Elephas maximus indicus: one gene and its partners. The main gene of each other region encodes a partner of the protein of the gene in region 2 in a complex. Links are inferred from orthologs where the notes say so. Each region holds a gene or a part of one and is shown on either strand. Other genes may lie near its edges.

Region 1 (7,650 bases), on a different chromosome or scaffold from region 2:
CAGCACCCTCCAGCAGCTGGCCCTTCACTTCCTGGGAGGAGGCATGTCCTCAGTGGCAGGAGGTGCCCTGCCCCCGGGGCCAGGTGAGGAGCCCTGCGAGGATGGTAGGGGAGAGGAGGCCGCTCTTCATGTACCTGGGCTGAGAGAGGAAATGGAGACTTTTTGTGGGGAGAAGGGTGTTTTGTGGGAGGTTGGTGCTAGCCAGGGCTTCTCTAGCTCATACAGCACCTTTGATGGAGACAGAAAAAGGCATCTAGTTTGGGCATATGGGGCCCTGCACCAGAGCACTCAGCTTGGCAAGCAGAGCACAGCTCAGGCTGCACTTGGCCACGTTCTTCCTTAACCAGGCACACTTGTGCAGGGCACACCCTGCACAGCTGTTCAAGCAGCCCTGATGCTAGAGCTGACCAGAGCTAAGGCAGTGAGTAGAGTCCAGGTGTCTGGGAGTGTGGAGGCCTTTGGGAACCCCCATGGGAGGGAGGCAACAGGGCCCAGAGGGAAGCTGGGAAACGAGTCTTATACTCAAAGCTGGAGTAGGTTGAGCTGGCTGGGGGATTAGGGCTGGAACCCAGGGGGTGCTTCTTAGCGGAGAAGGAAGTTGATAGAGGCCTGAAAGGGCTATGAGGGGAACTGCCGCACACAGGTACTGAGGCCACAGTGCCCTGGCCTTGGCAGCACACTGACCTTTGCTCCCTCCTCTCTGCCTCCCTCCCCAGCAGACACCTTGGAGATGGTGAGTGAAGTTGAGCTGCCTGCCCCCAGTGTCAGCGCTGGGCCCAGCCTGAAGCAGCCTGTGGCTGAGGAGCTGCTGACTGCTCTGCAGCCCTTCCTGTCTGAGGCCTTGGTCAGCCAGGTCGGAGCCTGCTACCAGTTCAATGTCATCATGCCCAGTGGCACCCAGAACATTTACTTCCTGGACCTCACCACAGGTGCGACAGCCTGCCTGCCCTTCTTTCCTACCCAGGTTGCTTGTAGGTCCCCCCACCCCCAGTGGTCCTCTTTCAGACTGTCTCCTACTCCTGCCAGCAGTTTCGGGTGAACTCAAATGGCAGTCTGGGGCTCAGATGCCATTTTCCGACAATGATTGTCCAGGCTCGGCCCCCCACCATTGGCAGTACAGCTCAGAGGGCCAGGCGTCCCACACCAAGAGCCTGCGTGTGTTGTGGCCCTACTGTGTCGCAGGCACTGTGTGAAGCACTTCTTGTGTGTTATTGCACCTGATTCTATGATTTAGGGATTGCTATCATCCCCGTTTCACAGATCAGGAAACTGAGGCTCTGAGCGGCCACACAGCCAATAGGACTGAAACCCAGGGTGTTAGCACCTCAACTCCAACCACTGCTTTCCACCTCTCCCAGTCCAAAACAAAAACCAAACCCAGTGCTGTCAAGTCAATTCCGACTCGTAGCGACCCTATAGGACAGAGTAGAACTGCCCCCTAGAGTTTCTAAGGAGCGCCTGGCAGATTCGAACTGCCGAGCCTTTGGTTAGCAGCCGTAGCACTTAACATCTTTGGCACCAGGGTTTCCCCTCTCCCGGTAGGACGTGATAACCCTGCAGTCCAGCAGTTCTGAAACAGATGGAGGGAAGGCTTTTTGTATTGCGGATAAGATCCATTTTACAGAATAGGTCAGCAGGGGAATTCAGCAGCACCCCTCCCCCATCCCGGTAATCACCCCACTAACACTCCGTTTTCTTTCCCCAACAGGGCGAGGGAGAGTGGGACGTGGGGTGCCTGATGGCATCCCTGACGTGCTGGTGGAGATGACCGAGGCGGACCTGCGGGCCCTGCTTTGTAGGGAGCTACGGCCCCTGGGGGCCTACATGAGCGGGCGGCTGAAGGTGAAGGGTGACCTGGCCGTGGCCATGAAGCTGGAGGCTGTCCTCAGGGCCCTGAAGTAGCAGCAGCCTCAGCTGACCACCTGTAGCCCAGCCTCGAGCTTGGTGCCAAGCCAGGAAGGCCTCTTGGAGGAGGAGGCAGCACTGTTGATGCACCTTGGAGAATTGAGGCTCTCTGGCATTTCAGGCCCAGCTGGGGCCAATGGACAGAGGCTGGCAGACAGCGGAGGCCGAGAGAGGCCAAACCAGGCTGTTTTGCCCTTCTTGCCTGCAACACTGGTTCCCTGGACAAGCCTTTGCCCATCCCCTGAGCTGGGTACATAGTGTGGATGGGCCTGCCCTGCTCTGCTGCCTACCTGGCTGGGAAGCCAGGACCACAGAAACAGCCTGGCAGCAGCTGCTTTAGCCTTGAGCGAGGGGCCAGACTGTGTGGCTCCGGCTCGGAATGCTGGGGGAGCTCAGAAGGAGGGGTGCAGAAAGGGTTGGGGGAGGGAGAAGCCAGGCAGCCACCGAGAAGCACTCACTACAGCGGAGGCACCTGGGGATCCGGGCTGGGCCCGCCTTCCTGGGTGCAGCCCAGGCCCAGGCTAGTTGGAGGGTGGGGATGGGAGAGAGCAGGGCCTGCTCCTCCCCTGGCCCTGCTCCTGAGGATAACCTGATTCATGTACCGGCCGTCTTGCATGCGTGATGGGCCGGGACCCAGGGCAGCATGAAGGGAAGCCCTGCTGTTCCCGTGCTTCTAGCCAGAGGCCTGAAAACCTCCAAAAGAAATAAATGTGTTTACAATCAGAAGAGAGAAGGAGTGGAGACTGGATGTAGTGGGAGTAGCCTAGGAGGGTCCATGAGGCAATGCCCCTACTGCTGGGCCAGGGCCACGGGGGTCCAGATACCCCTGCTGTGCCCTTCTTTGCTGAGTGACTCCAAGTGTTGACTCCTCCCACAGGCAGGAGGGTGGGACAGGGGGTCACTCTGTTATCCCTCTTTATGGTGGAGGTACAGGTTTACTAGGAGAGAGGGGCATGGGCAGGTCAAAACTGGGCCCCCAAACACCTGGACCTAATGAGGGGTAGGGCGGGGGGCTCATCACCTTAAGGAGAGGGGCTGGGCTGCAATCATCCTCTCCTGGGCCACCCAGGGTCACTGCTTGTTTCTCCACTGGCTGAAGGGGTGCACACAGATAGACGTTGAGGCCTGGCCCCAGGGGCCCAGTGGGTTTCTCTTCAGTGCCCCAGCCCCAGAGGCCCCAGAGATGGGCCTCCGACTTCTCTAGTCCTGAGAAATGAAGCTTACTTCCTGGAGAGTGTTACGGAAAAAAACAGACAAAAATCAGAGCTAAATGAGTGTCTCCTTTGAGGAACAAGCTCAGCTTGTCCTCTGGAATCAGGCCTGGCCCTCCCAGGGCGTGCTCCCTCTTTGTCCAGGTCAGGCTGGTCCAGCTTGCCCCTCTGCTCCAGCCATTGCCTGGCACTGCGTTTTCCCTCCTCCTGTGTGTCTCCACAGTGCCTGAGGCACCTCCCTAAGGCCCAGCGCAGACCTCACGGCCATGGGGATTCAGGCTTTAGCTCTAGGGCGCCCTCTCCCCAAGCCTGGAACATCTACAGGTGTTTCCGGGCCCTGAAACTTTCCAGCTGGGGTTGTCTGTGCCCTCTAACCCTTACTGGCCCCTTTCAGCTGGGACTAAGTCTTCCCTCCAATCCCCAGCAGCCACACTCCCATGCCCCTTGAGGCCCCGTGGGGATGGCAGTGCTTGGTCCCTAGGTGTTCCTAATGTTTGCCTGCCTTGCCTGAGGGACCATGAACTGCGCGAGTGAGCGATTCATGTATTCCGTCATCCCTATTGCACACAGCAGGCACAGCGTTAACAGGAAGCCCCGCAGATCCTCACCAGGACAGCCGTGCCTTTGCCGTGCCTTTGCCAGAAGATAGCACTTACCCCTCCAGGCTGAGCCAGGGGAGACAGGAATGATGAGATCAAAACCTAGGAGAAACTGAAACTGCTGAGTTTCTCTGTGGGTTTGAGAAGAGCAACGTAACATTTAGGGGAAACTGAAACTTTTCTGGATATTTGTGTGGGTGGTGGCACAGCGGTTAAGCGTTTGGCTGCTACACAAAAAAAAGGTCAACAGTTTGAATCTGCTAGCTGCTCCTTGCAATCCCTATGGGGCAGTTCTGCTCTGTCCTACAGGGGATCGACTCGAAGGCAATGGGTTTAGTTTTGGTTTGGTGTGGGTAGAGGACAGGACCTACCCAGCCAACATGGGGTGAGGAGGGTGTGGGAGAGAGTTCATTTCTTGGCCAGGGCAACACTACAGGGGAAAGGAGTGCATAGGCTCAAGGACCCTGGGCTATGGAGGATTAAGCAAACCTTGGAGTCCACAAAGGGTGAGGACTGCCATGGAGGAAGGGAGCATGAGGGTTATGTCAATCACAGGAGTCTTCCTGGAGGAGGTGATGCCTGAGACTTGAGGCTAAGTGGGCCATGAGAGAAGAGGAGGGGAAAGATAGTCGGCCAGAGGGGAAGGCCCCTGCAAGGGTACAGGCGGAAGAGGCACGTGGGCACTTTCAATTTGGGGAACTGGAACCTAAAGTATGAGAGGGATGTGGGCAGGGATTTTGGGAGGGGACAAAAATAGTGGCCATTATCGGGTGTTGTATGTGTCACTGTATTGGACTCAACATTGCCTATATATTATTTTTTTTCCTCAAGACAACCTGGTGAATAGTACTTTTAAAATGTTTATGCTATGTTGATGTGTTAATATATATTAATATTGGTGTTTTTTTGGAAACTCTATGGGGCAGCTTTACTCTGTCCTCTAGGGTCGCTATGAGTCGGAATCAACTCGACGGCACTGGGTTTTTTTGTTGGTTTGGTGTTATTTTAAAATAATTATTTAATTTTTAAATAGCTAATACATTCACATGGCTCAAAAATTTTTTAAAGATTAAAAAGGCACAAAGAAAATGATTTCTCACGTTCCTGACCCCATCCAGACACTTCGCACACCTTCCTCCAAACAAGTACCCCCTGCTATTAGCTTCTTTGTTATTCTCCGAGAAGTTTTTTTTTTTTTTTTTAATCCATTGTCTTAGGCTGGGTTCTTTGGAAATGCTAAACGAGTGAAGCGCTTCTCTCTGTCTTAGTTATCTAGTGCTGCTATAACACAAATACCACAAGTAGATGGCTTTAACAGAGAAATTTATTCTTTCGCAATCTAGGAGGCTAGAAGTCCAAATTCAGGATGCCAGCTCCAGGGGATGGCTTTCTCACACTGCTGGCCCTGGAGGAAGGTTCTTGTCATCAGTCTTCCCCTAGTCTAGGAGCTTCTCAGCACAGGGACCCCAGGTCCAAACGACACACTGTTCTCCTGGCTCTTGTTTCTAGGTGGTATGAGGTCTCCTTGTCTCTCTGCACACTTCTCTCTTTTATATCTCAAGAGAGGCCGATTTAAGACACAACCTAATCTTATAGATTGAGTCCTGCCGAATTAACATAACTGCCTCTAATCCTGTCTCAACACCATAGAGGCAGGATTTACAACACATAGGAAAATCACATCAGCTCACAAAATGTTGGACGGTCGCACAATACTGGGAAACATGGCATAGCCAAGTTGACACACATTTTTTGGGGATACATTTCAATCCATAACACTCTGTATATGTAAGTATAAGGAAGAAATGATGAAGTAAACTGAACAGAAGATTTCAAATGGTGGCGCAAGAAAAGTAAAGTATTAAAATGACGTGCAAAGAACTGGAGATAGAAAACCAAAAGGGAAGGACACTCTCGGTGTTTCTCGAGCTAAAAGAGCTGAAGAAAAAATTCAAACCTTGAGTTGCAATAATGAAGGATTCTATGGGGAAAATATTAAACGACGCAGGAAGCATCAAAAGAAGATGGAAGGAATACACAGACTCATACCAAAAAGAATTCGTCGATGTTCAACCATTTCAAGAGGTGGCATATGATCAGGAACTGATGGTACTGAAGGAAGAAGTCCAAGGGACTCTGAAGGCATTGGCAGAAAACAAGGCTCCAGGAATTGACGGAATATCAATTGAGATGTTTCAACAAATGGATGTAGCGCTGGAGGTGCTCACTCGTCTATGCCAAGAGATATTTAGACCAAAACTAAACCCATTGCCTTCGAGTCGATCCCCTGTAGGACAGAGCAGAACTGCCCCATAGGGATTGCAAGGAGCAGCTAGCAGATTCAAACTGTTGACCTTTTTTTTGTGTAGCAGCCAAACGCTTAACCGCTGTGCCACTGACTGGAAGAGACCCATATTTATGCCTATTCCCAAGAAAGGTGATCCAACTGAATGTGGAAATTATAGAACAATATCATACGCAAGGAAAATTTTGCTGAAGATCATTCAAAAACCGCTGTAGCAGTATATCGACAGGGAACTGCCAGAAATTCAGGCCAGTTTCAGAAGAGGACGTGGAACCAGGGATATCATTGCTGATGTCAGATGGATCCTGGCTGAAAGCAGAGAATACCAGAAGGATGTTTACCTGTGTTTTATTGACTATGTAAAGGCATTTGACTGTGTGGTTCATAACAAATTATAGATAACATTGCGAAGAATGGGAATTCCAGAACACTTAATTGTGCTCATGAGGAACCTTTACATAGATCAGGAGGCAGTTGTTTGGACAGAACAAGGGGATACTGATGGGTTTAAAGTCAGGAAAGGTATACATCAGGGTTGTATCCTTTCACCATGCCTATTCGATCCGTATGCTGAGCAAATAATCCAAGAAGCTGGACTATATGAAGAACGGGGCAGCAGGATTGGAGGAAGACTCATTAACAACCTGCGTTATGCAGGTGACACAACCTTGCTTGCTGAAAGTGAAGAGGACTTGAAGCACTTACTAATGAAGATCAAAGACCACAGCCTTCAGTATGGATTGCACCTCAACATATAAAGAAAACAAAAATCCTCACAACTGGACCAATGAGCAACATCATGATAAATGGAGAAAAGATTGAAGTTTTCAAGGATTTCATTTTACTTGGATCCACAATCAACAGCCATGGAAGCAGCAGTCAAAAAATCAAAAGACGCATTGCATTGGGTAAACCTGCTGCAAAGGGCCTCTTTAAAGTGTTGAAAAGCAAAGATGTCACTTTGAAGACCAAGGTGCCCCAATCCATGCCATGGTATTTTCAATCGCATCATATGCATGTGAAAGCTGGACAGTGAATAAGGAAGACTGAAGAAGAATTGACACCTTTGAACTGTGGTGTTGGCAAAGAATATTGAATATACTGTGGACGGCCAAAAGAATGAACAAATCTGTCTTGGAAGCAGTACAACCAGAATGCTCCTTAGAAGCAAGGATGGCGAGACTGCATCTTCCATACTTTGGACGTGTTGCCAGGAGGGATCAGTCCTTGACAAAGGACGTCATGCTTAGCAAAGTACAGGGTCAGCAGAAAAGAGGCAGATCCTCAACGAGGTGGATTGACACAGTGGCTGCAACAATGAGCTCAAGCATAACAATGATTTTAAGGATGGTGCAGGACCTGGCGGTGTTTCATTCTGTTGTGCATGTGGCCGCTATGGGTTGGATCCTACTCAACGGCACCTAACAACCGCAACAACGTATATATATATATATGTATATATTTCTATCTGTACATGCATACATATACATACAGAGAGAGAGAGAGAGATTCATATCAAGGAAGTGGCTCATGCAGCTGTAGAGTTTGGGAAATCCTAAGTTCATGCGTCAGGCTGAAGTCTTCTCCTGACTCATATAGCTGCAGGGGCTGGTGAACCCAAGAGCGGTAG
Region 2 (7,304 bases):
CTAGAGTAACAGTTCTCAAATTTTTTGATCTCAGGACTCTTTCACACTCTAAGAAATTATCAAAAGCCTCATAAACCTTTTGTTAGCTTCACAGCATGAGATTTATAGTATTAGAAACTGAGAAAACTTTCGTTTTAAAATAACAATAAACCCATTGAAAGTTAGTAAATAACATTTTTATTCAAACATGTTTTCCACAGGGGTTCAAACTGAAATAAACCAGTCTGAACCCCTGTTGAGAATTTCCTTTATAATAAGTTCCCGGAGCCCTGGTGGCACACTTGTTAAGAGCTTGGCTGAAAAAGGTGAGCAGTTCAAATCCACCAGCCACTCCTTGGAAGCCCTATAGGGCGGTTCTAGTCTGCCCTATAAGGTCACTGTGATTCGGAATCAAGTGTATCGCAACAGCTTTTTTTTTTTTTTTTTGGTTAATAAATTCCCAGGAGATGCTAATACTGCTGGTTAGAAACAAATCCTGAGAACCACTAGCAGGGCAGTGGCTTTCAAAAGTTAGTATACATAAGAATAACCCAGGAATCTCGTTAAAATGTAGATTCTGAATCAGAATATCTGGGTAGAAATGCACATTCTTGGCAAGGGGTTTGAACCGAAATAATCCAGCTCAGAAGCCCTGGGTGGGGGGGCGGGGGTTCTTTTTAATTTTATTGTGCCTTAGGTGAAAGCTTACAGCTGAAGCTAATCTCTTATTCAAAAATTTATACACACATTGTTTTGTGACACTGGTTGCAATCTCCACAATGTGACAGCACACTCCCCCTTTCCACCCCGGGTTCCCTGTGTCCATTCATTCAGTTCCTGTCCTTTCCTGCCTTCTTCTCTTGCTTTTGGACAGGAGTTGCCCATTTGGTCTCATACATTCGACTGAACTAAGAAGTACATTCGTCACGTGTGTTATTCTTTGTTTTATAAGCCTGTCTAATCTTGTCTGAAAAGTGGGCTCAAGCCCTGGTTTTTCAAAACAAAATTCATGGGAAGCTTGGCACTGTTTTTTTGCAAATCTCTTTACTTTCTGGGTTTAACAGAATGCAGCAGGATTCTCACATCTGCTTCTATATTCAATCTGTTATGATATTACAGGCCACGTAGCCTCTAGAAACTCCACGGAAAGAATGAGAATGAAAAGGGCAAAAAAAAAAAGTCCCATCATCATCATGAAAATAGTTTGGGCTTTCCAGATCCCCTGAAAAGAATCTCAAGGCCACTTTGTTAGTATTGTAGGCCCTTTGTTTCTTCCTTCATGTCTTTCTTAAATGACCTAACTTCAAACCAGGGCAAAAAATTCTACAATTTATTTTATAATTCTTTCTGTGTGTTACTCTTTCCTCAGGCTATGTAGCAAATTTCAACATGCATCCTAGTCACTTCTGAGCATCACAGTAAAAGGCTGATGAAACTAAGCATTTACACCTGTTCTTTCCTCTCTGTCAACCAAGTAAACAACTGTCTAGGGAAATACTTATAATGCCATTCCCATAGCCAACTTGGGAATTAATCTAGACCCATTCGAAACTAATTTAGATTATGGTTAATTTTTAAAAACATAAATGTAAGTTTTATGCAATAGTACAAATCCACGAAGGCCTAACTTGCTCTCACCAAGATATACAAAACTTGGTTAAAGGCCAAGGGAACGTGTGTTAAATTTAAAAGTTCAAGTAAACTGTAGAGTTGAACAAAAAACATTTTTTTATAACTGTCACTGAACAAATAAACGGTCCAAAAATACTTTAAAAAGTCATAGTCCTCTGAGCAACTAAAACAAAGACCAGACAAAAACCTTGTGAATTAAAAACTAGCCATAACCGTGGTTAACGAGATGAACGAATGGGGGAAAAAACTTAGCTGGGAAAATCGATCACTCCCGATTGGGTTCAAATCCCAAGAAAATTCCTGACAGTAACACTGGGTCGTTATGAGTCGGAAGCGACTCGACAGCATCTAACAAGACTATTGAGATGGAGCACCTCGTCATAGGGGCAGCTTTCTGCAACTGCTCTACATACACTTAGTTTTCCTATTCTTTCCTCAGAGGTATCAGTCATCTCCAGGTTAATGTCCAGATGCAGGGGGTTTCTGTTGTTCTAGTACTCTTGTTCTGCTTTGTTTCTTGGTTATTCTGAGTGCTCTGTTACAACTGGAGAGTTGCTGAACCAATCCCAAGTAAGAAATGGGAAAGTACAAGTAAAGAGGCAACAGCTCTGCACCCCCAAACGGAAAAAGGATTCAAAGAGACGCGGCGGCCCGGCTCTAGCTGTAACCCTCCGAACAGAAGACATCTTCCTAAGTTCCCAGCAGCACCAAACAACATCTTCCAGCCCGAGTTCCACCCTCCTACCCACTCTGGGACCTTCCAAAGACCGGCGTCCAAAAAGTGAAACCCATCTGCTTTTCAAGGCCACGGAGCCTCCCAGTCAGGGAATTCTCTCCCGTTACATAACCGAGGCCTAAGGCCCTGCTTCTGCAATCAGTCCTCAGGAGAGTGAGGCGGCTGGGTTCCCCAGGGACCCTCTCTGGGAGGTGGAAGCTGAGCTCTGCACCTGGCAGACCCCAAGGAAAAGGAGGGACGAAGGGAGAGAGGCGGTGACCAGAGGCGCCGAGGCTTTGGGGGCGGTGGGCGAGCTCAGAGAGGGGCGGGGCGGCTTCTGGAGGCCGGCGGCAAGCCCCGACGGTGCCGGCCCTCGCCAGCTCCCCTCCCTCGCTGTCCGGGTCCAGGCCGGCCGCCCCCTCCCCCATTCCCCGTTCCCCTCCCCCGCGCCTCCATCCCCGGCCGCAGCCAGGCGCCTGGCGGACTTGCCGGCTACGGCCCCGCCGCCGCTGTCGGACGGCTCCCGGCCCGGTACCTGGTCAGACATGGTTACGGTGGCTTCACCCCAGGGGTCTCCGCACAGCAGTGACCTCGGGCAGACAGAATCTCGCTCCGGGGTTTACAAATCCGTCTCTCTTCCCCACAGCACAACACCGCGGCTGGAGGGACTTCCGCTACGCCTTCCGTCACTTCCGCTACGCGCTGGGAGGGGAAATGGGGGGAGAAGGAATGGCGAGGCGGGAAAACGGATGGGGGAGCGGCCCGGAGATGGCAGGGCCCGGGAGCGGCCATACCGATGGAAGCGCGAGTGATTTAACCGAAATCTCGCCAGTTCATCCAAGGACCAGACCCTGCGCCTCAGTCCCGAGCCCATACACAGGGGAAAAGTCCCCGGCCGCAGTATGGGAACGACATTGACAATTCAGACTCCTACCTTACACCTTGCGCGTTTCTAAAGGCTGAGCCAAAAGCTGATAACTTCCTTTTGTCCCCTCCGGTCTTCTTCGTCGTAAATGTTTCTTAAGTGTGTTGCATTAAATACTGGTACTTCTTACCCAGGAGCTAACCCTTTTAGCTCCAGCCAAACACATAACCTTGATTAAAAAAAAAAAAAAAAGATCCTATTGGACACAACCTTGGCTACTAATGAACAAGACGCTACTGAAAGTTCTCAGTCCCTAAGGAGAGGAGGTTAATTCCGACCCTTGAATACTTTGTTTCGCGTTAAAGAGTTGTCCTTTTACAATCTCTAAAATACAATGACACTATGTAGCAAGGTGTATATAAGTTTTTGTGTGAGAGACTGACTTGATTTGTAAACCTTCACTTAAAGTACAATAAAAATTTTTAAAAATACAATGACACTACAGGCATAAGGCTAGACAAATAGAATCGAGAGTCCAGAAGTAAATCGATCAACCCTCATATTTACAATCTATTTTTTACAAAAATGCCCAGATAGTGGTGAAAGAATAGTCTTTCAGCAAATGGTGCTGGAACGATTGGATATCCACATGCTAAAGAATGAAGTTTTCTCTACCTCACATCATATAAAATATTTACTCAAAGACCTAAATTTACGAGCTAAAACTGTAAAACGCTTAGAAGACAAAACACAGGTGTAAATATCCTTTACCTTGATTAGCCAGTAGTTTCGTAAATGTGACATCAAAAATGCAAGCTACCAAAAAAATAGATAAATTGAATTTCATCAAAATGAAAGATAATCTGATAAGGGCATAATGTCCAGAACATATGAAGAACAATGACAACTCTGATAAAAAGACAGATACCTCAATTTAAAAATGGACAAAGATTCTGAATAGACATATCTCTAAAGTAGGTACAAAAAATGGCCAAAAAGCACATGAAAAAAAAAATTTTTAGGTATAAAAAATGGCCAAAAAGCCCATGAAAAGATGCTCAACTTCTTTAGCCATCAGGGAGTAGGAATTTGAACCCAGGAAATCTTAACTCTATTTCCATCTTGATTTATGACAGGAAAAATGCTCCCTAGAGGAGGCCAATTAAAATCACCTGTGAACAAAAAGTAAAACTAGAACTACCATTCCACTCCTAGGTATATACCCAAAAAACTTGAAACCAGAGACTCACAGATATTTGGACACCAGTGTTCATTGCAGTACTTTGTTTACAATAGCCAAAAGGTAGAAGCAACTTAAATGTCCATCAACAGGTGAAAAGATAAACAAAATGTGGTACACACATACTATGGAATACTACTCAGCCAGTAGGAGAAATGAAGTCTTGATACATGCCATACAATATGGCTGTAGCTTGAAGGCATTATGCTGAATGAAATAAGTCAATCACAGAAGGACAGATATTGTATTACCTCACCTACATATAAAGACAAAACAGCACAAGTAGATGGTACCCGGCTACCACTACTGAGTGCTCTGACAGGGATCACAATAGAGAGTTCTGGACAGAGCTGGAGAAAAATGTAGAACAAAATTCTAACTCAAAAAGAAAGACCAGACTTGTTGGCCTGACATAGGCTGGAGAAACCCTGAGAGTATGGTCCCCAGGCACCCTTTCCGCTCAGTAATGAAGTCACTTCTGAGGTTCACGCTTCAGCCAAGGAGTGGACAGGCCCATAAAACAAAATAGACTAAAGGGGCACACCAGTCCAGGGGCAAGGCCTAGAAAGCAGGAGGAAACCGGAAAGCTGGTAATAGGGAACCCAAGGTTGAGAAGGGAGAGTGTTGATATATCGTGGGGTTGTTAACCAATGTTATAAAACAATATGTGTACTAACTGTTTAATGAGAAACTAGTTTGTCCTATAAACCTTAATTTAAAGTACAATAAAAAAGTTAAAAATATATATATACACAGAAGAAAATGAAAAATATCCATAATCTAATCACCCAGAGATGAAGATTTTGATATATAATTCTTGAAAAAAAAAAAAAGGCAAGAACAAGCAAATGTACAGAAACCAAAATTTATTCGTGGTTACGGGGAGTGGGGGCAGGAGGGAGGGGAAAAGGGAGAGCTATTGCTTCCGGGGAAACCCTGGTGGTATAGTGGTTAAGTGCTACGGCTGCTAGCCAAAGGGTCTACAGTTCGAATCCGCCAGGTGCTCCTTGGAAGCTCTATGGGGCAGTTCTACTCTGTCTATACGGTCACTATGAGTCGGAATCAACTCAATGGCACTGGGTTTAGTGCTTATGGAGTACTGAGTTTCAGTTTACAGTAATGGAAAAATCACATTTATTAAGGGTAAGCTTACACAGCTGATTAATTGCTGTCAATAAGTTGTAAAACATTGAATTTGCAGAAGATGTGTGATAGATATATTTACAACAACAAAAAGTAGCTGCTGAAGCTTATGTGTAACCAAACACGTCATGGAATTGGTCTCTTTGGAGGTTTCGGGTAATGGTTTCATGGGAAATCCCAGCTAATAGACCTAATAGTGTGTTCAGTGCTTCTGTTTTACCTCCTAGTTTGTCATGTCGTGCAGGGGGTCTTAAAAGCTTGCAAGTGGACATCAAAGTTACAATAATTGGCCTCTATCCATCTGGAGCAACAGAGGAAGCAGACTCAGGAATAGGAGGAAGAAATGGAATGTGTGGCTAATTACCTCCATAAACATATGCCTCCTTTGCCATGAGACCAGAAGAACTGGATGGTGTCCACCTACAACTACTGAACACTTTAATCAAAGATTCCATAGAAGAATCATGATCAAAAGGGGGAAAATGCAGAACAGAATTTCAAAATCTCACAGACTCTAGACTTTCTAGAGACATTGAGGCTGGATGAAGCTCTGAAACTTTTGCCCTAAGATAATCTTTAAACCCTAAACCAAAATACCCCCTGAAGTCTTCTTAAAACCAAACAATAGTTTAGCGTAACTAGTAAAGAATGTCTACCTTGAGTATTGTACTCTTTTAAGATTTATCTATATAGGATCAAATTGACAAGGACAACTAGGAAGATTAGATAGGAAACATAGGGGGCAGTGAGTTTATGACAATGGGGGGAACAACTCAGAAAATAAGTGTGAGAATGGTTGCACAACTTGAACAACATAATCAATGTCACTGAACTGTACCTGTAGAAATTGAATTAGTATATGTTCTGCTGTGTATATTCTCTACAGCAACAAAAATGAAACAAACAAAAAAAATCACCCAAGAAGGTTTTTGGATTAAGCAAATCATCCAAATGAAATGTTCTTGAGAGTTTATTCCTTTCTGCCTCACTCCCCACCTTGAAAATCACTGCCATAGCAAACCAGTTATGGCTGGAGTGTAGTACTACATTCCTCAGGTTGTTATGGTAATAAGCAGGTGGTTTGAATTTAAGATTTCAGGGGTGGAGAGATTCTTGGAGATAACAAGGATAGGGGTTTCCATGAATGTGAGTGCCTAAAGTGTCCTGGGAAATGAAGAGATGGAGGAATATGAGATGAAGCATTGGATGATGTCTTAGTTATCTAGTGCTGCTTTAACAGAAGTATCACAAGTGGATGGCTTTAACAAAGAGAAATTTATTCTCTCACAGTCTAGTAGGCTACAAGTCCAAATTCAGGGTGCCAGCTCCAGGGGAAGGCTTTCTCTATCTGTGAGCTCTGGAAGAAGGTCCTTGTCACCAATCTTTCCCTGGTCTAGGAGCTTCACCGCACAGGAACCCCTGGTCCAAAGGACACGCTCTGCTCCTGGCACTGCTCTCTTGGTAGTGTGAGGTCCCCCCTTTCTGCTTGCTTTCCTTTCATCTCCTAAGATAAAAGGTGGTGCAGGCCACACCCCAGGGAAACTCCCTTTACATTGGATCAGGGATATGACCTTAGTAAGGGTGTTACAATCCCACCCTAATCCTCTTTAACATAAAATTACAATCTCAAAATGGAGGACAACCACACAATACTGGGAATCATGGCCTAAGCAAGTTGACACATGTTTTAGGAGGACACATTTCAATCCATGACAGATGGGTTATTACAT
Region 3 (7,701 bases), on a different chromosome or scaffold from region 2:
AGTTTCCAAAACTTTCATCACCCCAAACAAAAACTCTGGACCCATTAAGGGACAGCTCCCCGTTCTCTCTCTTTAGCCCAAGGTAACCACTAATATACTTTCTATCCTTATGCATTTGTCTATTCTAGATAGTTCATATAAATACAACTATACACTCTCTGTCCTTTGTGTCTGGTTTATTTCACTCAGCATAATGTTTTCAAGGTTCATCTATGTCGTAGCATATATTAGAACTTCATTCTTTTTTTTTTCCTTTTCAACTCTTAACCTAGTTTTATTTTCTTCTACAAAGCCACATCTAACCCTTCAGATATGAGGAAGTACAAGATTTGTGACAATACATTAGATTTTTTTCACTCAGTATTCAACCTAAATCATTCAGCTTGGGTTAGGTTTTACAATGTTTCTTCCTCAAAAATGAAAAGCACCTTTTCTGTATAAGATTTAGAATTTAAAAATAAATACCCAACATATCTAAGCTGGACGGTCCCTAGTAACAGTGGTTATCTCTAGAAAAGATAACTGAGTAGGAAAGAGACAGCAGAGACTTTTCTCAGTACATACAGTTTACCTTTAGAATTTTGTTTCATCCATATACTTTTCTTATTTAAAAAATAATTTTTAAATTAATATTCAGTACCTAATCTCGGTCTTTTGGCTGGTATTTCATCAGTGTCCACTGTGGAAAACAGACTGCTGAAAGGAGACAGAGGGGAAAAAAGTGTATATATATACATATATGTATAGTACATATACATATGCAGACATATATACGTAAACATATCCACTTCTACGAGCAAACTTACTATTTATACAACACACTCTTTTTCCACCCACTTCATCATAATTATGAGATTCAACTGATGGTTTAAAAGAACACCGCTCTATGGTGTTGTTAACTGCCATCAAGTTGATTCTGACTCGTGGGGACCCCAGCAGGTCTTTAGCATTTGAGGATTTAACACTAAGGTTTTTAACTATTTGAGAGTGACCCAGAACTCCCTATCATATAACAATCTGTAATCAAGCTGAGATACAAACTTGAAATGGGCCATGAGTCACTTAGCTAGTAGACGAGCCTAGGTAAGAGCCCTGAACTAGTAGCTTTTTTTTCTCTCCAGAAATTATTTGAAAACAAGCAAGGAAATCATTTGAAAGATGATCCCAAAGAAAGTTACCTTCTACTTCAAACAATAAACATAAGCAGTCTTAAAATATAGCTCCTAGCCAGGAAAGGTGTTATGTGCATCTTTATCATGGAAATTTGATTACAGTGGAAATAAAGAATTTGCCAATTCAGGAACATTTCTAAAGGTATACCACAAGAATGTTAAAGGCTCACGGCATACTACCAATCATCTTACTGAATACTTTTAATGATATTCACCAAAAAAAAAAAAAAAAAAAAAAGAACAGAATGAGATCCAGGAGGATACCATTCACTTCATGACTTTAAACACACCAACCAGACGCCCTGACTTCATTCTGGCTGAAAAATGGCTTATGTTGAGAACAGTGATTTTAGATTAAGGATGTGAGCACTTAAAGTGTGGTAAAGAACAGGCTTTTGATCTCCAAACCACTGTTCTCCTGACTAGCAGGGATTCACAAAAGGAAGAAAAGGGAAGAGAAACATTCCTTTCCTCGGTAACTCTGTTGTACCAAGTGTGTCCTATGCACCAGATACCACAGAAGGCCCTGCGGCAGACTAAACCAATACTACCTTTATATATACTAAGCATCAGGTTAGGTACTTTACAACATGATCTTAAATGGTCCTCCTGTCAACCCAGCCGAAAGGTAGAGAGGAGGAATAGGTTGACCTCATGCCCTTTTTGCAGCATGTAACAGAATTTAGCCAACTGCCAATTTCATCAATGGCCTGCATCCTCAGGCGCCCGTATTATCATCTTGTTCTCTCAGCTCCCAGAAACCATTTTTTTCCATCTTCTCTTATTTTGAAGCTTAAAAACAATGAAATTAGCACTTCATCACCAGAAGTTGGGGAGCGGGCCTGTATGGTGTTTTATTCTCTAGATAAATTATTTAGTCAGGGAGTAGATATTATAAAAGGGGATAAACCAAGGAATAGATGCTAAGTAGTAACAGCTTTTAGTTTCCCCCAAATTTTATAGCACAGACTAGTGATCTTTTTGAAGAATGAGGTACCTAACTTCTTGTCTCATAGGCCGATTTTAAAGCACAAAACCACTCCCCCCGCCTCTCAAACACACACAGCGTTTGACAGCTGTTTCAGAACAAGACAGCTGCTGTCTCCTGGTGCTAAGAGAACACTGCTCGCAGTCACATCCCTTTGGGCAAGCTATGAATCTCACTTCTCTTTAACTGTCCTAACTGCCCGACGATGACGCTTGGGAATCTGCTTCGTAAACAGTGAACCACAACAAAGACAACATTCCTTCCCTGTTTAGCTTTCAGCATAAAGGCAACAAAATACGACACAGCCCGATTTGCTGTCAGCAACCACTCGGACTCTGACAACAGGAAAGAGCCTACCACCGGCGGCCTCTCCAAAGACCACCTCTCCCCGGCTCCTTCCTTCACCCGGAGCCGCATCCTCCCAGCGTGGAGGGAGTGGCTACGTCACCAGGATACCCGCGACCCGCACATCTTCGGCCTCATCCCAGCCAGCGGTTCGGCTGAGCAAGGCTGTTGGACCTGGATCGGCGCGACCCCGGGCTGGGAGTGGGGTACAGCCAGGCCTGGTTGGCACTCAGTCCCCTTCTCTTCTCACCTGTTCGAGCGCCGCCTCTTCAGGAGGGCCCGGGCAGGGGGCACCGGCCGGTCACAAAAACGGAAAATGGTGCCGAGAATTCTAACCAGCCATTTGTACATACCAGGCCCCAGCAGCAGCGGCGGCCGATACACCCCGAGACGCAAACCCCAGAGCTTTCGCCGCCACTGCCGCCTTTGCCGCCTCCGCCACCACCGCCAAGGCTCAGTCGCCGACTTGTGACGCAATTCGAAGGCCGGCAGATAAAACGTCCCCAGGGCTACAGGAGGCCCCGCCCACCACCACTCCCGACGTCACCTCCTCCAGCCCGACCGGAAAGCCGTCTGCGTTCGGATCTTCAGCCCCACCTCCCCACAAGATCCCTGTGGGCGGGTCCCGGCCCAATCGTTGACGAGATCGAAAGGGATGTGGGCGGGGTTTTCTCTCTAGCGGAGCCAATGCTGAGGCGGACCGCGGGACAAGGCCCACAGGCAACACGTGAGGGCGTCTGCACCCGGAAGAAGCGCTACCGGTCCCTGAAACAGTACAAATTAAAAAACAGAACAAAACCCGTGACCCTCAAGTCCGTTCCGATTCACAGCGCACCCTATAGGACAGAGTAGAACTGCCCCATAGAGTTTCCAAAGACCGGCTGGTGGATTCGAACTGTCAACCTTTTGGTTAGCAGCCAAGCTCTTAACCACTGTTTTTGTTGAATGCATAAGACAAGGGTAAAAACAAAAAATAAAAATAAAGACAAGGGTAGGCCAGGTTAATTAAAAAATGTTTATCGTGATCGATACCTTTTATTTTGCATATACCGTGTGCCCGGGAACTTCGCGTGTATTGTCGCCTTCATTTCTCCCTGCAACCGCAGGCGATAGAAGTCTTGTGCTCATTTCATAAACAAGAAAACTGAGGCACAGAGCTATTAAGTAATTCGCCTTGGATCACAGAGCTGCCTAGTGGCGGAACTGAAATTTGAACCGGAGTCTGACCACCAGCGCCCGTCTCTCGCCCTTGAGGTCAGTCTACTAGGAGAGACGTGTACACAGATAACTACAAGTCATAAATACAAGGTAGTTGGCTGTTATAAAAGTGTGTGCAAAGTGCAGTGGGAGCCAGAGAAAGGAGAACCACACGCTGGGGGAGACAGGGGCAGGGTAGAACTGCTCAAGGAAGGCTTCACAGAACCTTCGGGACGGAAAGACACCCGCTGCCTACAAGGCCAGCCAGGGGTGCTTTTCATTACCCTCCCTTTGTAACCTAGAGATCACACTTGTAGTTAATTACCAAACATAGAGCAAGACCCCAGCCGATTTAATGATAGAAAACCCAGTACCCCCTGGATCCAACACCCCCCAAACAATTCGCAGAATCCTCAAAGGTTTTGTGTTCCACAGATCCATCCCTGTCTGCACTTGTTCTTCCACCTGTGATTCAGTTAAGGCTGGCACTGTCCAGTACAGCCTCCTCAACAGACCAGAAAAAAAAAAACAAACCCATTACCTTCGGGTCCATTCTGACTCACAGCAACTCTGTGAGACAGAGTAGAACTGCCCCATAGGGTTTCCAAGGAGTGGCTGGTGGATTCAAGCTGTCAACCTTTTGGTTAGCAGCTGAGCTCTTAACCACTGTGCCACCAGGGCTCGCCTCAACAGACAGTATTCTTGAATTCTGCTGCAAGTCACCTCCTAAAGCTCCAGAACCATCAGCCTCCCACCTGAGGCCACTACCACTTGGGGCTGGGGGTGGGGAACAGTTCCTAGAAGGTGGAAGCAAGTCCCAAGGGTTGACCCAGGTCCTTCCGTTAATTCTTCAAAGCCTAGCTACCATCAGGCTGTTACTGAAAGTTTGGGAATAACGGAAGGCCGAGAAGAAGACTTAGAGTTAGCTATTATTCAGTATCTACGGTCCATTGCTCATGTCCTCCAGGGACACTACGAGCCCTAAGGCCACTCTCCTCAACATCTTTTCATAGGCCACCTACCTGTCCCATTTTAGGCCAGACTCCCAGTAAATTTCACAAGATTTGGGAGCCCTCTCAAAAGAAGATAACATTGTTATGCAGAGCAGTTCAGCTATTAATAGCTCAACCCTCCTTTCCACCAAAAGAGGTCGTCTTTATTCCCATACTCGTTTTTTTTTTTTTTAATCCTTTGGGTGGTGGATTTTCTCCAAAGCCAAAGAGCAGCCTTTGAAGAGCAGCTTTAGAAGAGCAACTGATCATAGAGATTTAAGAAATATTGGGGTCAAGTCTCAGAGTACCCCAGTACAAAACACCAAGACAATTTTCTTGCTTTTCCTGCCTCGTTAATAGCACCTGCCATGAAAAGGGAACGTGTGTTGGCTTCACCGACCTCAGCTGGAATCCCAGGGCCTTAAGCACAAGCGTGCACACACACACCTCCACATACCCTCTGTGTCCTCTTAATGGCCAGTGGAGGGGCTACCCTCTAGAATGGAAAAAAAAAGGCGGGGACTCAGACTTAAAGTTGCTCCCGCCTGAGATTTGTCCAACAGATGGTGCCTTGTAGTCCACAGTAGGGTTGTGAGCCAAAGCCCCTCCACTGGCCATGGAGTATGGTTACCCTTAAATCCAACCCCATCACTGCTAAAGGTGTTCCTGGACCCAAGAGTCCCTCACTGGAGAGTCAGGGGAGAATGCCCCGGGGCCAAGTGGAGTAACCAGGATGTTGAGATTTCTGCTTTTGATTTGGTTAATTTGTGCCCCTGTACCGCAGGAGGGGCACAGCCTCATAGCTTCAGCCTACGCAGGATCCGTCTCCCAAACCATGCTCTGGTTTTCTGCAAGGATCCTAATCCCCCTCCCTCGGGGATCCTTACCTTCTAGCTCTTCCAGGCCCCACCCCATTGTCCTCAAAACCTACCTCAGTTTCACAGGTCAAAGAAGACTCAGCCCCCCCAATCCATCCTTTGGTCTTGCAAATTTTCCCTGTAGCATTCATTGAATGTAAAAGATTTCTGCTCAGCTTTGGTTTTGCTGACCTCTTTGGGGAACAGAGTTCTGGACCATTTAATGGAGGTAGGCACCCAAAGATGGGATGTTGTTGCTTTGGTCCTGAAGTGGGCTAACCAAAACCCCAAACTCATTGCCATCCAGTTGATTACAACTCATCCTGACCCTGTAGGGCAGAGTAGAACTGTCCCATAGAGTTTCCAAGGAGTGTCTGGTATATTCCAACTGCCGACCTTTTGGTTAGCAGCCAAGCTCTGAACCATTGTGCCACCAGGGCTCCAGGTCCCGGTTAGAGTGGGAGAAAAATATATAACAAAATTAAAATTCATAAAAAAGACCAGAGTGACGGGTCCGATAGAGACTGGAGGAACCCTGAGGCTATAGCCCTAAGACACCCTTCTAGCTTAGAACTGAAGCCACTCCCAGAGATCACCTTTCAGCCAAATAATAGATTGGCCTATAAAATAATAACACCTGTGGAGAATGTGCTCCTTAGAACAATCAACTACACAAGAGTAAATGGGCAATGTTTGCCCAAAAGCAAAGATGAGAAGCAGAAAGGGGGCAGGGAAGACAGACAAATGGAAACGGGGAAGCCGGGTGGAAATGGGGAGCATGCTGACACATCGCAGGGATTGCAGCCACTGCCACGAACACTTTGTACATGAATTATTGAACGGAAAACTAGTTTGTTGTGTAAACTTTCACCTAAAACACAATAAAATGTTCAAAAAATAAAAAGTCCACATACTCCTTTCTCATACTGGATTTCATTACAAAACTTGCCCACATTTACCACAAACAGCTTGGCCTTGCTCTGATGGAGAAAGAGCAGCAAGCCCTATGCACGCCTGTTTCCTAATCTATAAAACGACGTTAATAAAATCTGCCTCTCAGATTTACGGAGCTTACCTCTGTGCCCAGCCCAAGAGCCACCTGCCATCAAGTCGACTCGGACGCATGGCGACGCCTACGTATGTCAGAGTAGCACTGTGCTCCACAGGGATTTCAATGGCTGACTTTTTAGAAGTATCAAGCCTTTCTTCTGAGATGCCTGTGGGTGGACTCGAACCTCCACTCTTTCGGTTAGCATGTGAGAGCATTAACTGGTTGCACCACCCAGGATTTCTCTCTGGCACAGGTAAGTGCCTAGTGCCTCTCTTTCCTCTTCTTTCTTATCTAAAATCCATGGGACTGATGCACCATTATTTAAAACTTCTCCCCAAATTTTTGTTTATTAGGTTTTTTAAAGAATTAAAAAAAAATTTTTTTTATTCTGCTTTAAGTGAAAGTTTACAAATCAGGTCAGTCTCTCACACAAAAACTTATATACGCCTTGCTACATACTCCCAGTTGCTCTCCCCCTAATAAGACAGCCTGCTCCCTCCCTCCATTCTCTTTTTTCGTGTTCACTTCGCCACTTTCTAACCCCCTCTACCCTCTCATCTCCCCTCCAGGCAGGAGATGCCAACATAGTCTCAAGTGTCCACCTGATCCGGGAAACTCACTCCCCGCCAGCATCCCTCTCCAACCCATTGTCCAGCCCAATCCATGTCTGAAGAGTTGGCTTCAGGAATGGTTCCAGTCCTGGGCCAACAGGAGGTCTGGGGGCCATGACCACCGGGGACCTTCTAGTCTCAGTCAGTCCACTAAGTCTGGTCTTTTTACGAGAATTTAAGGTCTGCATCACACTGCTCTCCTGCTCCCTCAGGGGTTCTCTATTGTGCTCCCGGTCAGGGCAGTCATCGGTTAAGCCCGGCACCACCTAGTTCTTTTGGTCTCAGGCTGATGTATTCTCTGATTTATGTGGCCCTTTCTGTCTCTTGGGCTCGTAATTACCTTGTGTCCTTGGTGTTCTTCTTTGTCCTTTGATCCAGGTGGGTTGAGACCAATTGATGCATCTTAGATGGGCACTTGCTAGCGTTTGGTTTTTTAAAGAATTTTTAATGAGAAAAAATATTTTGCTTCTGTCTGGTCATCCTGCATA
Region 4 (7,286 bases), on a different chromosome or scaffold from region 2:
ACCAGAAAACTTATGTCATTAACAGCTTACAAGGTATTAGAAACTATAACTATAAAACATCAGATAGTTAATTAGAAAACTTCTAACTTTAGAAATTAACTTTAGAAATTGATAAATAGAATGTAGTAAAAAACCTCTAGATGCTGGCACTGCATCCATGTGCTATGATAAATAAATTGTAACTTATAACTAGATAGGGGGTCTCTAAATTAGAAATACAAAAGTTTGAAGTATTTTGCAATGATGTAAAATATAGTTAAACCTCCCTAAATTGGCTCATCACATGTATATGATAAAAACCTCCCTAAACATATTTGTTGCATCTATGCTATAACAAAAACGTTCCTAAATTGGCTCGGCACATATGTGATATGATAAAGGAATTATTACATAAAATTGCCTCTGTGTTACTTGGTCTTGAGACACTAGGTAAGTCGTAAACAACCACCAAATCTTTGACCTTGAAGAAAAAAAAGGTGACATACTAGTCTCTGTTAAACATGACATCACCTAATCCTTATTGTGCAAGGTCAAATTAAAAATTACATGTATACACTGGATCTCGGCTCATGCTCTGAGAGGCAGGCAGAGGCAAAGTATCTCTTTAGTCTCTGACTTTCTCCGAAGACTATGAGAGCTTGCAGGCTACCCACCGCTACAGACCTCGGACCCTAGCTATGCGGGAGCTCCACCAAGTTCCAGCCATGGTCAGTCTTCCTCCCGAGAACCTCTTGTAAAAGGTAAACGCTTTAAGTCTAAAGATTGGGACTCTAACTACTGAACTAACACTGTAATTGTAATTGTCAATTCTTATTCTTGGGTTCTAAAATGGAAGACTTCAGTGCGTGCCTTGCCATGACTACCTTGCAATAAACTAAAGGAATTTATGCATGGCAAACCCGAGCATTTCTTTATGTTTAAGACAAAATCCTACAAGAAAACGACATCTCTATCCCTCTCAAACCTCACATCTTATTTTTGCCCTGGAGTTCCTGGGTTGTGCAAACTTTAACATGCTTAGCCAGCAGAAAGGTTGGCGGTTTATGTCCACCGAGAGGCGCCTTGGAAGAGAGACGTGGTAATCTCTTTGAGAAATCAGCCACTGAAAACCTTATGGAGCAGTTACTCTGACACACGTGGCGTGGCCATGCTTTTTTTAGACTAAAAGGCAACTCCTTGGCTTGTATTTGCCCCAGTAGTTCGCAACTACCCCGCTTGGACCCACCGACCAATCAAAATCTTTCTCTTTTTATGACCACCCCTTGAGCTCACGATGTCCAATTATAATCCGCCTCTCCCAAAATTCCAAAAGGTCTAGGTTATAACGTCCAATCTCAGCCAAAGGCAGACGTGAGTGGGGGTGGGGTGGGGGTGGGGCGGGGCGGGGTGGGGGTGGGGCGGGAGAACTATGCCTGAGCTGACTGTAGACCCCGGGCACTCGGCTACTTGTCCCCAACCCCCTCAGGAGAGGCCCCCACCCAGCCAGCCACCCGCTGTCAAACCCAAAGGGACTTTAACGGCCAACTGAAAAATAAAAGGCCCAGCCCCCTCCTTGACGGACAGCAGCTCACAGTAGCACACAAGGTCCACTTGCTCACCCTTTCTCTATAGGGTCCCCAGACCTTGAGCCTTGACCTTAAAGACCCAGAATGTGGACAGTTGGGCTGCCTGCTTGTTCCAGTTTGTTTGTCTCTATGTTGGGCCTAATGATTCCAAATCACAGAATCATAAAGTGGTAAAACTGGACAGGATTTTAGGGATTGTTTAGTCCAGACCATTCGCTTTATACTGGGTAATTAAATGATTGCTCCAAAGGCTCTCTTATCTCTCTTGAGTGGGGGAATTAGGGTCAAGACAGGTGCAGGACTTGCAAGCACCACACCCCTTAATCCTGGCAGTGCTGAGCAAGGCTTCCATGCCAACCTCCCTGATCCAGCCAGCTGTCAGACTGGGGTTCAGGATGGCAGAGGAAGGCAATGTGGACGAGGACGATGTGTTCCTGGTGTTTGCCCATGGTCCCTCTCCTCCCAGGGGTCCCCTTCGTCAGACCTTGGACAAGGCCTTCTTTATCTTCCTGGTCCTCCTCCTGACACTGCTGATGCTGCAGGCTGCCTATAAGCTGCTGTGGCTGCTACCATGGGCAAAGTTTGGGGACTGGCTCCTGCAAACACCTCAGAAGGAGCAAGAGCTGGAATTGTGACCATCTTTCCTAGAAGCATTCTCTCTCCCTGCCACAGAGGTGAGAGGGGAGACAGGAGGGAAATGGGACTGTTGGGGGTTGTGGAGGGGACATTTATATAGCTTAGAGAAGCAATCTTAATTTCCTTGAAGTAATTTTGAGAATAAATAATTATGAAATAATTTTGAAAACGTATGTAATCTCTCATTTTTAAGTGGCATCTAAAATTTTTCATCATAAATTAAGGTTGCTTCAAGAATTGAAATCAATCTTGGCATATTAATAATGTTCACATTTTAAAATAAAATAGTTAAATCACCCTTTTGAATGTCAAATTGAATTGAGATATCATAGTGACTTGATGGAGCCCAGGTGAAATAGTGGTTAAGAGTTGGGGTGCTAGCCAAAAGGTGAGCAGTTTGAATCCACCAGCCACTCCTTGGAAACCCTATGGAGCAGTTCTGCTCCATTTCTAGAGGGTCGCTATGAGTCGGAATTGACTCAACCGCAAAGGGTTTGGTTTGGTTTTTTGGATGAAAGGAATAGGCTCTTTGTCTCTTTGAGACAAGGTAAGATTAACTAAAAAAAAAAAAGATTACCACAGAGATTTTATGGTTGAGAGCTATACTCTTCTTTTTTTAAGAGGGAGGAAGTCCATTGTAAAAGGGGAAGGGAAGAAAGAGAACCTGTACTGCCGGTGCTTACTCAGGAAAACAATTTTGGGAAAGGTGAGGATCTGGAAATTAGATCCAGTAAAACGCCCATGCTCAGGTACCCTTTGGAGTGTCTTCATGGTCTCAATTTGAAGACTTAGGCTTAGAGAACTGGAGAGAAGTGGTGTGGAATTCTTTAATGGGAGGGAAGGTTTGATGTTCTGGGATTCCAAAGATGTGGGGGATGTAAGGGTGGTACTAGAAAGTGGGAAGATGCTCGCTACTTATGGAATGCACAGGATGCAGGAGGTGAAAATCTCAGAGACTGGAGTCGTGTTAATCTTTTGGGTTTGCACATGAGCTCACCTCTGGACTTTGCCCCTGCCTTGACGAGTCCCTCTAGCCCCACTAAAGCTGGCCGAAGGGGTGCGGGTGAGACAGGCATCACAATCAGTTTCTTCCTCCTTCCTTCTTTCCACAGCAATCCCACAGGAAGAGGAGACGAGACCCCAGGTACTTCACGAGACTCATTTCTCATTTTGTCTCATACCCTTACAGTGGCAATTTGATCAGATTCTTAAAACCCTTGCCCCATCGCCGGTCCTTAGGCGCTGGACTCCTCTACGAAGCACAGCCTCCTGGTCAGCGCCTCCTGCGCGTCGGGGAACCCCTCTCGAGAAGAACAGAAAACAACCCAGGTCCCATCTGCTTGATTGATCGTTACGTGGTGATGGGTGAAAAGCAAATCAACAGTGGCAATAATAATAACGCATTTGTGTAGCGCGTTGTGCTTCTTCGTGTGCATGTGTTATGATTTCACGATGGGGAGATGGAGGCATCTAGATGTAGAGCTAGATGGAGGGTAGCAGCAAGGGGCGTGCAGCCGTCGGAAGAAAAGGGGCGGACGCAGTTGCTTAAGCTTTGCAAACCAACACCTGGGAGATAGGAAATCTGGGCCGGAAGGTTTGTCAATAGCCCAGCGGAAGGAAAGGATTTTTTTTCCTCTTAAGAGATTCTCACTCTTCTATGAAACCTTCCACAGCCTTGGGGAACCCAACTCCTTATCTGTCCTGTTCCGTTCCCCCCCCGCCCAATTGGAAAAGTGGCTCAATCCTCCCTGCACGCGATTCACCGGCGGTTGCGCTCAGTGCAAGAAGTTTCTGATTGGCGGAATCGCAGAAGCACCGGGTGAAAAGAGCCTCACTGGCTTCGCGCATAAGTCCGGACTGAGACAACGCCGTACGGCAAAATGGCGATCCCCGGGTGCTTCGCACTCCTTGAAGGGACAAACCACGCCCCCTACAGGTTAGGGGATAGGGCGCCGCAGACTACTGGAGATACTCGAGGGGCGGGACTACATCACTTCCGGCCACAGGACAACGTTCCGTATCATAAGATGGCTGCGCCTAGGTGCATGTAAGCGGAAACTCTGCGGCTTCCGGTCCTGAGTAGGGACTGCGGTGGGAGGGGGAAGGAAGGCGGAGAGAAGCATGCGAGGTTCTGAGATCAGCGGTGAGGGTCGCCTCGAGAGACCGTTTCTGAGGTGGGCGCTGGACGGTGCGGGCAGACAGGGTGGGGATATCGAGGGAGAGGTATTGTGGAGACCCGAGAGCTGAGCTCGAGAGCAAACTGTGGTACCTCCTATTCCTGAAGGGGAGAGAGCGGCCGGGGGCTGAACTGCGGGGGGAGGGGGGATTTGGCGGGAAGCTCACCTGGGGAAGGGGGCCGGACCCAGGATTGGGATTGAAGAGGAATCAAGAGAGCCCAGTCAGGGGCTCACGAGCGGTTACGGGTCAACGGAGAAAAAAGGGAAAATTAGGGTGGGGTGAGAGGGAGGGGATTCGAGGTAAAATATCTCCAACCTAATTTTTTTTTTTAAAGCCCCGGTTTGAAGGGACCTATTAGACGGTGGAATATGGGAATAATTCAAGGAGAAGAAAGGAGAATGGGCTGTTGGGAGAGAACCTGTTCCTCCACAGAGAGTGTAGGAGTTGGGGTGATCATTCAGGATGGGGTGGGGGGTGCAGGTTTGACGTGGTTGAGGGCGAAAGGGGGAAAACGTGGGGTGTGCCAACAGTGATGTAGCATCTGTGCAAGAGGGTGTCAAAGAAATAAGATGCAGTGTGGTAAACTGTCCTGGGAGGAAGGATCAACTTGCCAACTGTGAGAAACCTTGGATAAACGAAACAGAAAGACCGGAAATCGATCTGAGGGGTGGAGCTGGAGATAGGAACTTACTGTTTGTAGGTGGTTGGGGATCCCCCTCCCAGGTGCAGGGCCCGAAAAGTATATGTAACTAATGGTTGCTGATGATAGTCAGTGAAGACACTGTTGGGCAGAGCTGGGTATTACTGAAACCCAAGGAGATTGGAAAATGTGTGAGATGAAGGGATGGGGCTATGCTGGAGGGGCTCTTTCTGAGGCCCCATCCCCTTCCAGCAGGATTTCTGAAATCCCCACCACTTCCTCCCTCCGGGGGATTTGATCCCCCATGGCCACCGATAACAACATCATCGTGCTGGATGATGATGACGAAGATGAAGCAGCTGCTCAGCCAGGGCCCTCCCACCCACCCCCCAATCCGGCCTCGCCCAGGGCAGAAGCCCCTGGCCCCTCTGAGCCCTGTGTGTCCGAAGGAAGCAGTAGTTCGGGCAGCAAGAAATGCTACAAGTTGGAGAATGAGAAGCTGTTTGAAGAGGTGAGCTTTAAGGGAGGAGATTCTTGTACTCTAGGGAGGGGGAGGGCTGACTGGCTCTCCTGTCCTTTCTTCCCTGCTAACCCCACCTCACCTTCCTCTCAACCATCTCCCTTGTCTCTTTTCCTCTCCTTTCTTCCTCTGAACTGTCCAGTTCCTTAAACTGTGTAAGATGCAGACGGCAGAGCACCCTGAGGTGGTCCCATTCCTCTATAACCGCCAGCAGCGAGCCCATTCTCTGTTTTTGGCCTCGGCGGAGTTTTGCAACATCCTCTCTCGGGTCCTATCTCGGGCCCGGAGCCGGCCAGCTAAGCTCTATGTCTACATCAACGAGCTCTGCACTGTTCTCAAGGCCCACTCAGCCAAGAAGAAGCTGAACCTGTCACCTGCTGCCACCACCTCCAGTGAGCCCTCTGGAAATAACCCTCCCACAGACCCCCCCTTAGACTCCACAAATGCTGAGACCACTGCCTCTGAGGCCCCAAGGACCCGTGGTTCTCGGCGGCAGATCCAGCACTTGGAGCAGCTACTGGCCCTCTATGTGGCAGAGATACGGAGGCTGCAGGAGAAGGAGCTGGATCTCTCAGAACTGGATGACCCGGATTCCACATACCTACAGGAGGCACGGTTGAAGCGTAAGCTGATCCGCCTCTTTGGGCGCCTGTGTGAGCTGAAAGACTGCTCTTCACTGACCGGCCGTGTTATAGAGCAGCGCATCCCCTACCGTGGAACCCGCTACCCAGAGGTTAACAGGCGCATTGAGCGGCTTATCAACAAGCCAGGGCCTGATACCTTCCCTGACTATAGAGATGTGCTGCGGGCCGTAGAGAAGGCAGCTGCTCGACACAGCCTCGGCCTCCCTCGGCAGCAGCTCCAGCTCATGGCTCAGGATGCCTTCCGAGATGTGGGCATCAGGCTACAGGAACGACGCCACCTTGATCTCATCTACAACTTTGGCTGCCACCTCACAGATGACTATAGGCCAGGTAGGGAGTTTGCAGGATGCCCATCAGCAACCCATCAGGTGTGTGGCAGAGGGGCATCCCTTTAGTCTCTCCTTCTAGAGTTTGGGCTGAATGCTCTGACTTTATATCTTCCCACATAGGCATTGACCCTGCACTGTTGGATCCCATCCTGGCTCGGCGCCTTCGGGAAAACCGGAGCTTGGCCATGAGCCGGCTGGATGAGGTCATCACCAAATATGCAATGATGCAAGATCAGAGTGAGGAGGGTGAGAGACAGAAGAGAAGGGCTCGGCTCAAAGGCACCTCTGGCCACCCTGCAGAACCCCCCAGAGCCTCCTCAGATTCTGGTGAGGTATGAGAGGGATACCTCCTTCAGAGAGGCCATGTCCTTCCCCTGCACTGGCCTCCAGGGAGTCTGGGGTGACTGCTGGGGGAATGTGCAGAAAGAAAGCAAGGGCTGGACTCTGGAGCAAGGGATTTCTTAGAGAAACTCCTTTGTCCTCTAGGGCCCTAGTGGAATAGCATCCCAGGAGTGTCCTACCACCTCCAAGGCTGAGACAGATGAGGAAGAAGATGAGGAAAGTGATGAGGAGGAGGAAGAGGAAGAAGAAGAGGAGGAGGAAGAAGAAGAAGAGGAGGAAGAAGAGGAGGAGGTTACAGATTCTGAAGAGGAGGAGGATCTGGAACAGATGCAGGAAGGTCAGGGGAACAATGAAGAGGAGGAGGAGGAAGCAGGTATGTCAGGGAAGCATTCCCCCCATGTGTCAGTTCCCTCTACTTTGTTGAGCATAAGT

The links.
Region 1: the proteins of SUMO1 (region 2) and PML are in contact, whole or in part, in a crystal structure (PDB 8DJI), measured with the Homo sapiens proteins. The link is inferred for Elephas maximus indicus from reciprocal best matches to the Homo sapiens genes SUMO1 and PML. Residues at the interface, in NP_001005781.1 of Homo sapiens: Gly19, Glu20, Tyr21, Ile22, Lys23, Ser32, Glu33, Ile34, His35, Phe36, Lys37, Val38, Lys39, Thr42, Lys46, Leu47, Ser50, Arg54, Glu84; in NP_150241.2 of Homo sapiens: Glu554, Arg555, Val556, Val557, Val558, Ile559, Ser560, Ser570, Ser571, Ser572, Arg573.
Region 3: the proteins of SUMO1 (region 2) and SENP2 are in contact, whole or in part, in a crystal structure (PDB 1TGZ), measured with the Homo sapiens proteins. The link is inferred for Elephas maximus indicus from reciprocal best matches to the Homo sapiens genes SUMO1 and SENP2. Residues at the interface, in NP_001005781.1 of Homo sapiens: Asn60, Arg63, Leu65, Glu67, Gly68, Gln69, Arg70, Ala72, His75, Glu89, Tyr91, Gln92, Glu93, Gln94, Thr95, Gly96, Gly97; in NP_067640.2 of Homo sapiens: Asp386, Lys394, Leu395, Arg396, Trp410, Leu411, Asn412, Asp413, Glu414, Thr440, Phe441, Pro444, Lys445, Arg456, Trp457, His474, Val477, His478, Trp479, Met497, Gln542, Gly545, Ser546, Asp547, Cys548, Gly549.
Region 4: the proteins of SUMO1 (region 2) and DAXX are in contact, whole or in part, in an NMR structure (PDB 2KQS), measured with the Homo sapiens proteins. The link is inferred for Elephas maximus indicus from reciprocal best matches to the Homo sapiens genes SUMO1 and DAXX. Residues at the interface, in NP_001005781.1 of Homo sapiens: Lys17, Glu18, Tyr21, Ser32, Ile34, Phe36, Lys37, Val38, Lys39, Thr41, Thr42, His43, Lys46, Leu47, Ser50, Tyr51, Arg54, Gln55; in NP_001135441.1 of Homo sapiens: Glu731, Glu732, Ile733, Ile734, Val735, Leu736, Asp738, Ser739, Asp740.

What each region holds. Positions count from the first base shown.
Region 1 is NC_064831.1:64,098,278-64,105,927, reverse strand, and holds the start of PML (protein PML), read right to left. Parts: upstream 3,010-7,650; 5' UTR 2,927-3,009; exon of another isoform or gene 1,903-2,926; coding exon of another isoform or gene 1,709-1,902; intron 930-1,708; coding exon of another isoform or gene 717-929; intron 84-716; coding exon of another isoform or gene 1-83. Other genes in the region: STOML1 (stomatin-like protein 1), read left to right, coding at 1-83, 717-929, 1,709-1,902.
Region 2 is NC_064824.1:101,097,317-101,104,620, forward strand, and holds the start of SUMO1 (small ubiquitin-related modifier 1), read right to left. Parts: upstream 3,018-7,304; 5' UTR 2,874-3,017; coding exon 2,862-2,873; intron 1-2,861. UniProt on the Homo sapiens protein: Ubiquitin-like protein that can be covalently attached to proteins as a monomer or a lysine-linked polymer.
Region 3 is NC_064819.1:29,551,102-29,558,802, forward strand, and holds the start of SENP2 (sentrin-specific protease 2), read right to left. Parts: upstream 3,001-7,701; 5' UTR 2,857-3,000; coding exon 2,756-2,856; intron 697-2,755; coding exon 641-696; intron 1-640. UniProt on the Homo sapiens protein: Protease that catalyzes two essential functions in the SUMO pathway.
Region 4 is NC_064819.1:96,114,971-96,122,256, reverse strand, and holds the start of DAXX (death domain-associated protein 6), read left to right. Parts: upstream 1-4,275; 5' UTR 4,276-4,375; intron 4,376-5,271; 5' UTR 5,272-5,323; coding exon 5,324-5,530; intron 5,531-5,681; coding exon 5,682-6,513; intron 6,514-6,632; coding exon 6,633-6,844; intron 6,845-6,998; coding exon 6,999-7,227; intron 7,228-7,286. Other genes in the region: SMIM40 (small integral membrane protein 40), read left to right, coding at 1,961-2,200. UniProt on the Homo sapiens protein: Transcription corepressor known to repress transcriptional potential of several sumoylated transcription factors. Down-regulates basal and activated transcription.